Linked DNA regions of Macaca fascicularis. Each later gene encodes a partner of the first gene's protein in a complex. Links are inferred from orthologs where the notes say so. Each region holds a gene or a part of one and is shown in the gene's direction. Other genes may lie near its edges. The genes, in order: DR1, MBIP and YEATS2.

Region 1 (4,222 bases):
GTTTTTAGAAATTCCAACATCCCACTATTTATATAGCCTCTTATTCCACACGACAGTATGACAAACCTAGTTTGTCTTTTTTTTTTTTTTTTAACGTTTTTTGAGACAAAGACTCTTTCTCTGTCACCCAGGCTGGAAATGCAATGGCACAATCGCAGCTCACTGCAGCCTTGACCCCCTGGGCTCAATCAATCCTCCCACCTTACCCTCCAGAGTAGCCAGAACTACTGTGCCTGCCACCAAGCCCGGTGGAAAAAAAAAAACCCGTAAGAGTGTCATACTGTCATATGGGAGAAGAGGCTATACTATAAACAGTGGGATATTGGAATGAATACACACACACACACACACACACACAGATATTTGTAGGGACGGGTCTCACATGTTGCCCAGGGGGGTCCTGAACTCCTGGGCTCATGTGATCTCCCTGCCTCAGCCTCCCAAAGTGTTGGGTTTACAGGTATGATGAACCACAGCGCCCGGCTGACACACTTTTTAAAATGCAATTTCTGTTTAGATCTTGACACCTGTTGATATTACTAGTCACTATGGAAAGAAGCAAAAACAGTTAAGATGCTCTAACATTTTTTTTTCCCCTGTAGAAGCCAACATGGAATACACCATGAAAACTGTCTAAATGGGAACCTTCTAATACGGCTCATTGTACGCCATGCATTTCCACTACGTTGGAACTGACTTCTACTCTCCTACTTATCTATTAGGCGACTTAGTCGCCTAGTCGCCTCTAGGCAAGTAACTTCTCTGTTTCATTTTCCACGCAGTAAAAAAAAAAAAAAAAGGTGGAGGACTTTAGAGAGCTTTTACCCGAATAAGGTCTATTAGACATCTTCAAAAGCTTTCTCTCCAGACGACGCAGAAACAGGCACACGGGATTCTGTGCTTTCCCCACCTCCCACTCCCAAGCCCAGGCCCCATTCTTCTCACTTTCAATCCTCATTTGGGCTCCTAAAAGAATAGCAAAGAGAGTTCTTTTATCAATACCAGCGCTCCTCTGTCCCCAAATCCGGCTAGGGATGGGTTCGGAGGCCTCAGCTGCTGGAGAGAGGGTAGAGACGATCCTTCCTCGCCCATCTAGCCAGCCACCACCCCTTCCCAGATCTAGCGTCCGGGCCCCTGACCAAGCGCGTGCTTGGAGCTCTCCGGTACAGTGACGCGCGCGCTTGCCCGGCTAGGGCCCCTGTGAAGGAATGGGATCCCGAGGTGCTTGCCAGGACCGCAGCAGGCGGAAGCTGCTGGCAGCGGGAACGGGCGGCTCCCGTCGGCGTGGGTGGGGGAAGGGCGGCAGCCACATCCGGAAGTCGGTCCGGGAGGGAGGGGGAAATCTGAGGAACGAAGCTTCCGGCGGCGCAAAGGGTGTCGGGAGCGGCTTCCTGCAAATCTTCCCTGGCCTCTGGAGGGACCACCGTTGCCGCCGCTTCGGCTTCCAGGATCTGCGTTCGGGTTACGCGGCCACGGTGGCAGCCACTGCGACTCCCACTGTGCCTGGCTCTGTCCATATTAGTTCCCAGGCGGCCGTCGCCGTTCCAGCAGCGGCAGCGGCGGACATGTTGTGAGGCGGCGGCGCGGGTGTCTGAAGGATGGTTTGGCCGAGGCGGCGGCAACGGCTGCTGGCGGCGGCGGCAGCGGCAGCGGGGCCTCGGGCTCTATAGAGCCGAGCCCGCTGGGTACCCGCCCGGTACCGCGGCGAGGCCAGTGCCCCTGGATCTTGCCTCTGCTTCGACGCCGTTGGGGACCAGTTAGGCGACAGTGCCCGCCCCTCTGAGGAGACCCGAAGGTGGTTCCCCAGCCGCTCAAATTTCCGGACCACCGCGCTTTCCCCTCAGCCTGGGCTGTGCTCTCTCTAGAATCCTCAGGCCCCCACTTTCTTCCCAAACTCATCCTAAATCTCTCACACACGCGAGCGTTCCCAGCCCTCAAGCCAGCTCCTCCTCCGTTCATTTTCTGCACCCTCTTCGCGAAGCACCCCCCGGGATCACTCTCCGAGGGCGGCTTTTTGAGAGATCTCCGTGGAGTAGTGGACCAGAGCCGGGGAGTTTTTAAAAGCCGGGGCGCGAGAAACAGGAAGGTACTATGGCTTCCTCGTCTGGCAACGATGATGATCTCACTATCCCCAGAGCTGCTATCAATAAAATGATCAAAGAGACTCTTCCTAATGTCCGGGTGGCCAACGATGCTCGAGAGCTGGTGGTGAACTGCTGCACTGAATTCATTCACCTTATATCTTCTGAAGCCAATGAGATTTGTAACAAATCGGAAAAGAAGACCATCTCACCAGAACATGTCATACAAGGTAAGTCATGTGTGGAAATTGGTTTGAATGAGGGTCTAGGGGAGCAGTCTGCTAATCGCGTGACGCTTTCATGTCAAAGCCTTCATTCCTCTTCACTGGTAAGTAACTTAATGAAAAAGCCAGACTGGCATGTAGGTAGCCCGTGCTTTAAAAACAATCCCTTTGTAGCATTCTTGCAGTACTTTTCATCTAGCGAATACACGTTAAGGAGTGCAAACATTTAGGTCAACGTCCCCAAAACATAAAGAGTGATCTCACTTTACAGCCAGGTAAGCCGAAGCAACAGGAATTGCTTGCCTGAAGTTGAACTTAGATAATAATTAAGGAACGCAGAAGTTCTCCCTTGGAAAATTAAAAATTCAGACAGAGGAACTTCAAGCATGGATGGAGACAGAGCGCCCCTTCCCCACCTGACCTTTCACCAATGTAGAGGAAAAGATTTATTTTCTGAACACATGAGTTAAAAAATTCTTAATATACAATGTGTTCAACGTTGTCAAGTTTATCGTTGTTGAATAAAAGGAGGTATGTTTTCTGCTCTAAAAATGGTTTGATGGTACGTTCATGAATGAGTTACGAAAGCACTCCTGGTCCATTCTGTAAGAAAAGGGTGAACTTTAAATTTTTGTTTTTTTCTTTTTGTTTGCCTTTATGTCGTTTGCTTTGTTCTATTCTGTGGAGATAAGTTTTAAAATCTTTGATTGAAAGTTTATGCAAGTTTTTTTTTTTTAACGGAAAATTTCCCCGTCCTTTCCTGCTGTCATTCTTATTTGGATGCATACACTTAGGCTTTTATTGAACAGCACTTCTGAAAGCTTCAACAGTTTCTTTTATCCTGAAAAGGTTGTGGTCCCGTAATAGGGATTTGGGGGACTGTATTCTAATGGTTTCAGAGAGGAGAAACATATTTACTAGTCATAATGTTTCGGGAATGTACCTTTTGCGATATTTTTACATGTACTCTTGTGAAAGAGTTGTTCTCAATTTGAAGTGAGAACTTGCCTTTCGTAATAATCTAATTAAAAGTATTGATTGCTTGTGAAACCAGGGAAAAAATGGTTAATTTTAATCATTTTGGTAGGCAGGTGGTTGTCTGTCACTTAATTTTTATACTTTAACTTTTTAAAATGTGACTTGCCTGTTGTACTGAAGTAGAGAACACATCTGCTTCTGTTGACCATATCCAATATTTTACTGTCAGTATTGACAAAAGGATTAAATGATTGATTTTTAATCCTTTATGACGTCTTGAAAGTAGTTTTAAAATATATCCTGCCATTTCAGTACATAAGGAGAAAAATCCCTAGGAAAAAGCATATTTGATTCTTAAAACTAGTACTAGTTGTTTTTTTTTTTTTTTCTACTTGATGTGCTGAATACTCTAGCAAGTAAAATGAAAGCCAAGTTGTCTGTTTTTTCTCTTGTGTATTTATTTTTACATTGTATGTGTGATTGCTGTCATAAGTCTTTCACAAGATTATCCAGCACAGATAGCTGTAATTTCTTTTTACAACTCATAAAAAGGAAAAAGAACTTTTTATCAACATTGCCTTTCTAATGAAAATTGCAAAAGATTTCAACAGGGTCTGCCTAAATATTTGTTTACACTACAGAAGTGGGGATCGTTCCAAAAACCTAATAACACATTACAGTCTGTCTTCTTGGGGAGAGTTAATTCTTTTCTAGGATATATTTAGATTTCTGATTGACATGATGGAATAGAAGTGCAGCTGTAGCAAGCAGTATGCTAAATAATTCAACTTTGGAATATGCTAAATTCAGTTTAATGTGTGAGTCAGAAAGCTATAGTGAAAAAGCATTTCCATTGTGTAATGAAGATGATTTGTTTTTGAAAATCATGTATTGACGTGTTATAGTCTTAAAATTTTACCTCTTTTTTTTGTATTATGC
Region 2 (4,387 bases), on another chromosome or scaffold:
GCATATCAGTGTTCTCCATATTTGAAAAAATATGAAACACCTCAATGCAAACAAGTGATCTGAAACTGATTGCTAATTTGGTACAGAACAAAAACCTACAGTTACCCCATTACAATTATTCTCTATTAACAAGAGAACCAGAAGCAAACAAAACATGCTAACATGGCAAAGAATCATGAATTTAGGCTAGATATGGGGATGAGTGGCTTGAATAAGAAGGTTGCTCAATTTGAGATTGGACATTGCGAAGTATCTTTCTGGCTGTAGACATAGGCTGGAATATCAGTTGTATATCTTGCTGCCAACAAGGGAACAGAAAAGATTTTCCAAGATTCTGTCAAGCCTGGTGATCCCATTTGTCTTTGGAAATGAAAGCCTAATTAAGAGACTCCCTAGGGACAGGTCAAAGGAGTTCTTTTATCTCCATCGTCCTTATCCTAGTTCCTCGATGCGTTAGTCCTTCCCTTTAATGTAGTCTACCCTAAAACTAAAGAATACACATTGTGCAAGTTTCCACCTTTGCTTTCTCTACTGTAAATGCATTAGACTATTAACAGAATGAAGAGTTTTAAATCCCACCTTCCTTATCTCTAAGCTGATGTTTATTTCTTAAAGTGTTTTTGAATAAAATTTGACACTAAAAATTCTTGTAATACTTTTTAAAATTGGATAACACTTTTTAAAAATATTGGAGTCTGACTAAAAGATTACAAAACCCCACGAACATCTTTATAATAAAGCTATTATGATAAATAATACTTTGTAAAATTTCAATTCGGTTTTATGTCCTAATTTCAAAGATTGTGGTTGCATATTATTTATCCAGGTTAAATTCCTGTTGGATTATATTGACAGTGTTTCATTTCTTTGAAACAATTTTAGGGTTAAGAGTCTCTACAGTTATAATGGAGAATATCAACTGTAGTTTCAGTTACTCAGGAGGTTGAGGCAGGTTGAAACTGGGAGGCGGAGGTTGCAGTGAGCTGAGATGGCGCAACTGCACTCCAGTCTGGGCGACAGAGTGAGACTCTGCCTCCAAAACAACAACTTAAAACTTGAAGAGATGAAAATGTTCTATCCAACCATGACAATTCCGTGTGAGTTTTCCAGTGTTTAGAAACACTTGCGGGCACCACTCCATCCCTGACCAGCAAGCTTCCTCCAGAACCACTCCACACCGCCATGTTAAAATGTCAACTTTTAATTTGGGGACTCAAACTACAAAATTTAACTATGTCTCCTCTTACCAAGATTCACAGTGAACATCTGGGAGTCAAGGTAGGCTTCATAACGCTAAACAGACCACAACGCTAATAACCACCTCAAATATAGCCTTCCAGCCTAGCTTTGGTCTGCAATTTCCCACTTCAGAGCCTCGGCGTAATGTCGCAGTTGCAACTGATTGGTGTAACGTGCTTGTCAGTCACATAGAGAGGGTGGGGCCTCAAAGCCTGATCTAAACGAGACGCCGTGTCGTACGTCATCGCCAAGCGACTAAAGCTGGAAGGGAGGGAGCGGGGTTGTGAGCAAACGTTGGTGGTGGTGTTGGTGGTGGTGTTGGTGGTGGTGTTGGTGGTGGTGGTGGTGGGGCGGCCTGAAAAGGCATCATGGCTGCTGCCACGGAGCTTAGTCGCCCGAACAGCGGTGACAGGAGCCTGGAGCGAAGATGCAGCCCTAGCCTCTCCCGAGAGGTGCTCTACGAAATCTTTCGCTCCCTACAAACCCTGGTTGGACAGGTGAGAGGTGGCCGGAGGGACTGGGAATATGGAAGCCATCCGGCCCATCCCTCCATTCTTTTCTTCTAGCAGGGGCCGGGGGCAGCTAGGCCTGCTGAAGTGTGGGATGCCGTCCCTGAAGCCGAGGTCGGGGAGGAGCGCGGGCCCAGCCGCCTCGCTCGGAGTGAGGAGGACGGCGGTACCCGTAGCCGAGTAGTTTACCTTGCAGCTGTCCTCTCCAAGAGTGGGTGAGGTTGGTCTAAGTGAAAACCCGGCTCCGAAAGAGGCAGGCTTGGGGAGAATGAATGTGGAAAAGCTTCACTGCGAATTTAGGAGGCGCCTAGCGCTCAGGGTCCTTTTTCCTCCAACTTACTCTTTATGGGAATTGGTTGGTCAGTAGGCCTGAGATTTATAGAAAAGCGCGCGCTTATTAGCTTTTTCTTGGCCGGGGGGAAGGAGTAATTTGTTCTTATGAGTTACTTGGTTTTGTTTATTTCTTTTTTCCTTGGGGCTGTTTTGGGCATCTATAACCCTTTCAAATGGGGAGGAAAGTAAAAGGAATTCGTTTAAAATACTTCTAGCGTAAAGTTGGATGAGTTATCCATCGTTGATGCTGTTTGCGTTTAGAACTGTCGTTATTTAACTATTAACTAGTTTAACTGACTGATAAATCGCTTTTGCAGAAATGCCATAGTAAAATTGGTTTTGAATTTAGTGGGCTTCTTCGATCAAGTCACTGTTTCGTTTCACGGTGTAAAATTAAAAGCAAGTTTTAAATGAGAAACAATTTAAAAGTACGCTTGTTTACCTGCCTTTTAAAAGGAAATGTTTTCTATCTTACATAGACCATTTTCTAGCCGTAAAAGTTTGTTTTGAGGCTGGCACTAGCGCATGTGGACACGGCAGGCATTTGTGTCAAAGATAATGGTAAATTCTTATGAAAATAGAACATTTGTCTGATTTGTGAAAATTATTTTTAAAGCCTTGAGTAGATGGAGAATCAGCTTTTTAAAAAGTTACTATTTTAAAAAATCATAGTGTGTTGTGTCTTACAAAGAACATTACTGTAAGTTAAACGGTTTTATGTAATGACGCAATTATTAATGGAGTCTGCTTAAAGATACAACTTTTAAATTCAGTTGTTTGCCAAGTGCTTACCGAAATCGTTTTTTAAAGGCTTGGGGTGTTTTGTTATATATTCCAGTCTTAAGACCCAAGACCTTTTAAATGGTTTAAAAGTTAGAGAACTTTTTATGGCGACGTTGGAACTTAAGTTTGTTTATTTTCTAATGTCAAGATGAAAAAAGTTTATGCTCACCTATTAACAGAAGATGGAATATTTTTAAAAAATACTGAGCAATGATTTAAACGTTTCTTTTGAAACATTTAGCATACTGAATTTTTCAAACTCATTAGAAAATTTTAAACATTCAAGTACTCTACAAGTAAAGAAGCGATTACAATTTATTTGTGTCACCTGTCAAAAATGTTGACAGTAAATATTTGGTTACTTTACCATGACACAGTGAAGGGACCTCCTATACAGGTGTCAAAAATATGATTGTTTCATCAGTTAAATGCAAACTGTTTTCATAATACTCTATATTTTGAGAAGTATTAAGAGTGAAAGCCAGAGTTCCACACTTGCAAAATTGCCCCCAGAGAAATCAGTATTTTCTTTTGCAACCACTTTAAAAGATTTCTAGAAGGTATGTTGTAACATGCCTAACTTCATCCTGTGTCATCCCTAAGTATCATTGTATTATTAGATCTCAGTAGGAAACATAAAACTGAATGTTAAAAAGAATTTTTTACTTAAGATCACAAAATTTACTAATTTTAACCTTTTTGCTTGCCTCTGGATGGTCCATCTTACCAAGCTAAACACTTACTTATTTTTAGCTTGGATTTTTGTATTAATTTAGTAAAGTGTTTACTGAAAATATTTATTTAAATAGTCTATATTAATAGCAGACTAATAGAGATTTTCGAGTGAATGGTTTACTCTTCCAAGTTCTGTAGGGCAAAATGCATAGAATTCATATTACTAATAATGAATTTGTTGAATGAATAGTTAGGTGTATTAGAATAGTTTTAAATTAATTTGTGACATTATTATGTGAGTTTCTTAAAAGACCAGTTATTCTTAATTGCACTTGAAGCTTATGTAATTCTGCTGAATTGAAATGACACTATGAACGAAACATTAAGACTTATTTTTCTATAAGTTATTTTCTCTAGAAAATGTGATACTTTGCTTTGGTTGAGGATTTGCCTGCTTTATCCCCAAGCTGTATTCTTAAGTTTTCTGTGATCAACTGTAGATCTCTTTGAAGACTATGAAAGTACAATAATAGGTTACTTCCATACATAATACAGGTTGTTGTCTAACAAAATCTTTATAGGAATTAAAATAATGTAAATGAATGCATTCACTTTAACGTAAAATCTTAACATATTATAATCTTTGCCAGTGCAGCCTACATGAAATTTCATGTATCTTTACGCTTGTCTAATATGGACTTCTAAATGCTTCTGTTCTCATCTTCATTTCTGTCACAAAGTATTCAATATATTATCTTTTTATTGGTAACCTTACATCTTTTTGATCTTTGTACAGTGATTCATCTTTTTTATTATAATTATGACTAATAAAATCTGTATTTGAACTC
Region 3 (3,647 bases), on another chromosome or scaffold:
TAAATAGCTGCCCTTATCTAAAGTTGAGTTGAAGGGGGAATATTTTAAGTGTTTATAAGAATTTACATTAATTGGATTGTTGTTTTCCTTTCCTTTTTTTTTTTGAAACAGAGTTTTGCTCTGTCGCCAAGGGTGGAGTGCAGTGGCAAGATCTCGGCTCACTGCAACCTCCGCCTCCTGGGTTCAAGCAGTTCTCATGCCTCAGTCTCCTGAGTAGCTGGCTAATTTTTGTATTTTTTTAGTAAAGACGGGGTTTCACCATGTTGCCCAGTCTGGTCTTGAACTCCTGACCTCAGAAGATCCACCTGCCTTGGCCCCCCAAAGTACTGGGATTACAGGCGTGAGCCACTGTGCCTGGCCTGGCTTGTTACTTTCTTAGTTTAGTGACAGGCTCCTGTTTCTACAGTTGAAGATATACCTCAGTTACCCTCATACCTAATAATCACCCACTAGTAAAAAGGGACTTTGCAATTCCTGTTGTCCTCAAGTTGTCTGTGTGCTGTTCGTCTCATGTGGGGTTATCACCTGGGAGTTAGATCACCTTCATTAAAAATAATCTCTGTATTTGTTATATCCCTCCCTCCTTTTCTCCCTTTAGTGGTTCAGTCATTTTCTACCAGCAAGCCACCTGCCATTCTGCCTGTAGCTGCCCCAACTCCACTTGTCCCCAGCTCTGCTCCAGCAGCTGTTGCAAAAGGTACATAGGATCTCACAGAGTTCTTGTCCAGAAGTTTTGTTGTTTATCTTTTTTGTTGTCGTTCACGTTCTCTTCTGATGTCCAGAAGTTTTATGCAGGACATTACCATAATCTGAATCTTTTGAATTTTCAGCATTTGCAAATCAACCACTTGGCAAATGTGTCCTAAATACTCATATGGTAGACTTAACATTGAGGGAAACACAGAGATGTATAAAGGATCATTTCTACCCTTTAATAAATTTATAATAAGGTTGAAAAGAATTGCTGTAGACAGCAAGCAATCATTGATAAACACAAGACATGTGGCCAGGGAAATGATTGCTGAAATATTGCAGTTTGGGATGTCTGATCAGGGTTGGCAGGGGGTGTGGAGAAGGGCAAGACTTTGTATTGACCATGGATTATAACCTGGACTTTAAAAGAGTAGAGGTTTTTTAGCTGTGGGGAGTCAAGGGGTATGCCAGATTAAGGGCACAAGAGAGACAAAGACTCAGCTTCCCCTTTGGAGAAGTGGCAAGTTAGAGGGACTCATTTGGGGAGTATAGTTGTGGTAAAGGAGGTTTAGGTAGGGGCCAGACTTTGGCGAGCTGGCAGTGGGAGACATTTCCGCCCACAAGAGTAGATCAGGATAGCACGGTGGATTAGAGCAACACGCTGACATTGATAACATCAGTGTCCAAGCACAGGCGATCTGATTTTTGCTTTCTGCCTTGTGTCTCAGAACGCTAAGATAATGCTGCAAGTTGATAAACTAGCTGGAGAGATGATATTGGAAAGGTCACAATATTAGAACTTAGAACAAACCAGCATTGTACTTCAATGTAGCATTGTTAAATCACATGTGTGGGGAGGGGGTGAGGGATCTTACACAGCAGTATGGGTGGCCCTTTAAGAAATATCTGAGGAGCCATTTTATTGCCCCCGCCCTGTCATGAGGCTGGAGTTGTCCCCCCTGAGACCCAGGCTAACAGTTCTTCCCTTGTCTGATGACCCTGGGATGATAGGAGCCATCTCAGTCCCCTGGCTGTGTCCCCGCAACAGCTGGAGTGGCAGTTTCCTTGCTGAGCTTCACTGCAGGAGCTTTGTTTGTGCCTGCACATGTCCTTCCACTGCTAACCCCTAACAGCTGCCTCTTTGTTGCTCTTGCCTTGTAGTGAAGACTGAACCAGAAACACCTGGGCCGAGCTGCCTCTCTCAGGAGGGTCAGACAGCAGTGAAAACAGAAGAAAGTTCTGAGCTGGGAAACTATGTCATTAAGTAATTCTTCCAGTCTTTCCTAAAGGAATTCCGCTTTGGGTGTTTGTCACACCTGTGACAGCTGAGTATGTGCAGAGTTGTGTGTGTAGCTCTAAGCCCTTGATGGGAGGAACTGTCTGTGCCTGTGTAGTGGACAAGTGATGCACAGCTGAGGGTCATCATTTTATACAGTGGTGTGACTGGAGGTGGCACTTGATTTGTAGCCTTAGAAGCCTCAGATGGGATTAGACCTCCCTTCAGTTGAGGTTGCCAGCGTGGGCTTTCTCTGCTGAGCCCCTGGGCGCAAAATTTCTCCTGTAGCCATCACTCAGGTGTATACGTGCTTTGTGACTGGGTGTCCACACGCCTGCCTAATCTTAGCTGCCTCTTCATGGGCTATACACACTCTTTGCTTCTTCTAAAATGCTTTCTGAGGTTTCGTAATTTCTAAATCAGGAAGCCACTTCTGACCAGCTACTTTTAAGTATCTCAAACCGCTGGGGACAATAGAAACTTAGCCCTTTAATATGGTAGATGGAGGCGTGAACTGTAATAACCCTAAGATGGGCATACAGAATTTTTCTCCCCTAGTAGCAGTCACATTGCAAAAAGATTATATTGCTATTTAATTTTAAGGTGTAGATTAACTGTCTGTAATACGCGCATAATCTTCCATTCCTGGGATCTTATTTAGTCTTGACATTTTCTTTTTAAGCATAGAACACCTTTCCTTTACAAAGAAGGTAATCTATGGAAGGAAAGACATGTTAATATGATGTTTTTACATTATAATTCCCTCAGAATGGAATATATCCATTAAGTATATGGCATACATATGGCTATAGAAACTGCTACATGTATTTAATTTATTGCCTTATTTTTTTTTTATCCTTCTCAGGATAGACCATTTAGAGACTATCCAGCAACTCTTAACAGCAGTAGTAAAGAAGATTCCATTAATCACTGCAAAAAGTAAGACAATTACACTGAATATAGGGGTGCATTTTTTAAAGCCGTGAATTTAAGGTATTGAGTCAACTGAAATCACTTGGGTTTGTAAATTAATATTGATAATGGCAGTTACCTTATAAGGTTTCAGCTAGAGATACAGCTCATTTGCAAGGGTTTTAGAATTCATATGCAGTTAGTTTTTTATTCTTTTTACTGTGTTGTTCTTTAGAAGGAATGTTTTACATTTTTCATATGTAAATCATAAATTGTTTTGTATGCAGTTAAAACTCTGTATTAGCATTTGGCGTTTATGAGTGAGGAAAGCATTTAGTGTTTGCCTGCAGTGTACCAGGTCCTGTGCAGGCTGGGTACGTTCACTGTCTCATATAATCCCAGCCTCCTGTGTGGTAGCTGGTGTCATCTGCATTTACAGATGAGGAAACTGAGGATAAACAGGGTTGAATAACTTGCTTGAGATCACAGAGCCATGGGTGGTGAAACAGGATACAAACCTGGTTCTGTTTGACTCTAAGACCGTTCATCTTTCCTCTGAAACTCAGTATTGCACACTGTAGAAATGCACAGTTTTTAAGACCTCCCAAAGTGGTGTGCTGTGTCACTCCCATCGTTAGCTAGATTGAGTAAATTGCTGCTTAGCCCCAGTTGTTTTGATAGAATCAATAACCCTTGCTGAGGGGCCAGCAGCCTGCGGACACAGGAGCATGCTCATGGGCAAGACCACTATGCACACTCAGAGGGA

Evidence for each region.
Region 2: DR1 (region 1) and MBIP share a complex: the UniProt entries of both Homo sapiens proteins name them as parts of the ADA2A-containing complex. The link is inferred for Macaca fascicularis from reciprocal best matches to the Homo sapiens genes DR1 and MBIP.
Region 3: DR1 (region 1) and YEATS2 share a complex: the UniProt entries of both Homo sapiens proteins name them as parts of the ADA2A-containing complex. The link is inferred for Macaca fascicularis from reciprocal best matches to the Homo sapiens genes DR1 and YEATS2.

The regions. Positions count from the first base shown.
Region 1 is NC_088375.1:141,054,480-141,058,701, reverse strand, and holds the start of DR1 (protein Dr1), read left to right. Parts: upstream 1-1,367; 5' UTR 1,368-2,091; coding exon 2,092-2,311; intron 2,312-4,222. UniProt on the Homo sapiens protein: The association of the DR1/DRAP1 heterodimer with TBP results in a functional repression of both activated and basal transcription of class II genes.
Region 2 is NC_088381.1:104,153,887-104,158,273, reverse strand, and holds the start of MBIP (MAP3K12-binding inhibitory protein 1), read left to right. Parts: upstream 1-1,488; 5' UTR 1,489-1,607; coding exon 1,608-1,736; exon of another isoform or gene 1,737-1,968; intron 1,969-4,387. UniProt on the Homo sapiens protein: Inhibits the MAP3K12 activity to induce the activation of the JNK/SAPK pathway. Component of the ATAC complex, a complex with histone acetyltransferase activity on histones H3 and H4.
Region 3 is NC_088376.1:95,716,043-95,719,689, forward strand, and holds part of YEATS2 (YEATS domain-containing protein 2), read left to right. Parts: intron 1-598; coding exon 599-697; intron 698-1,854; coding exon 1,855-1,957; intron 1,958-2,834; coding exon 2,835-2,908; intron 2,909-3,647. UniProt on the Homo sapiens protein: Chromatin reader component of the ATAC complex, a complex with histone acetyltransferase activity on histones H3 and H4. YEATS2 specifically recognizes and binds histone H3 crotonylated at 'Lys-27' (H3K27cr).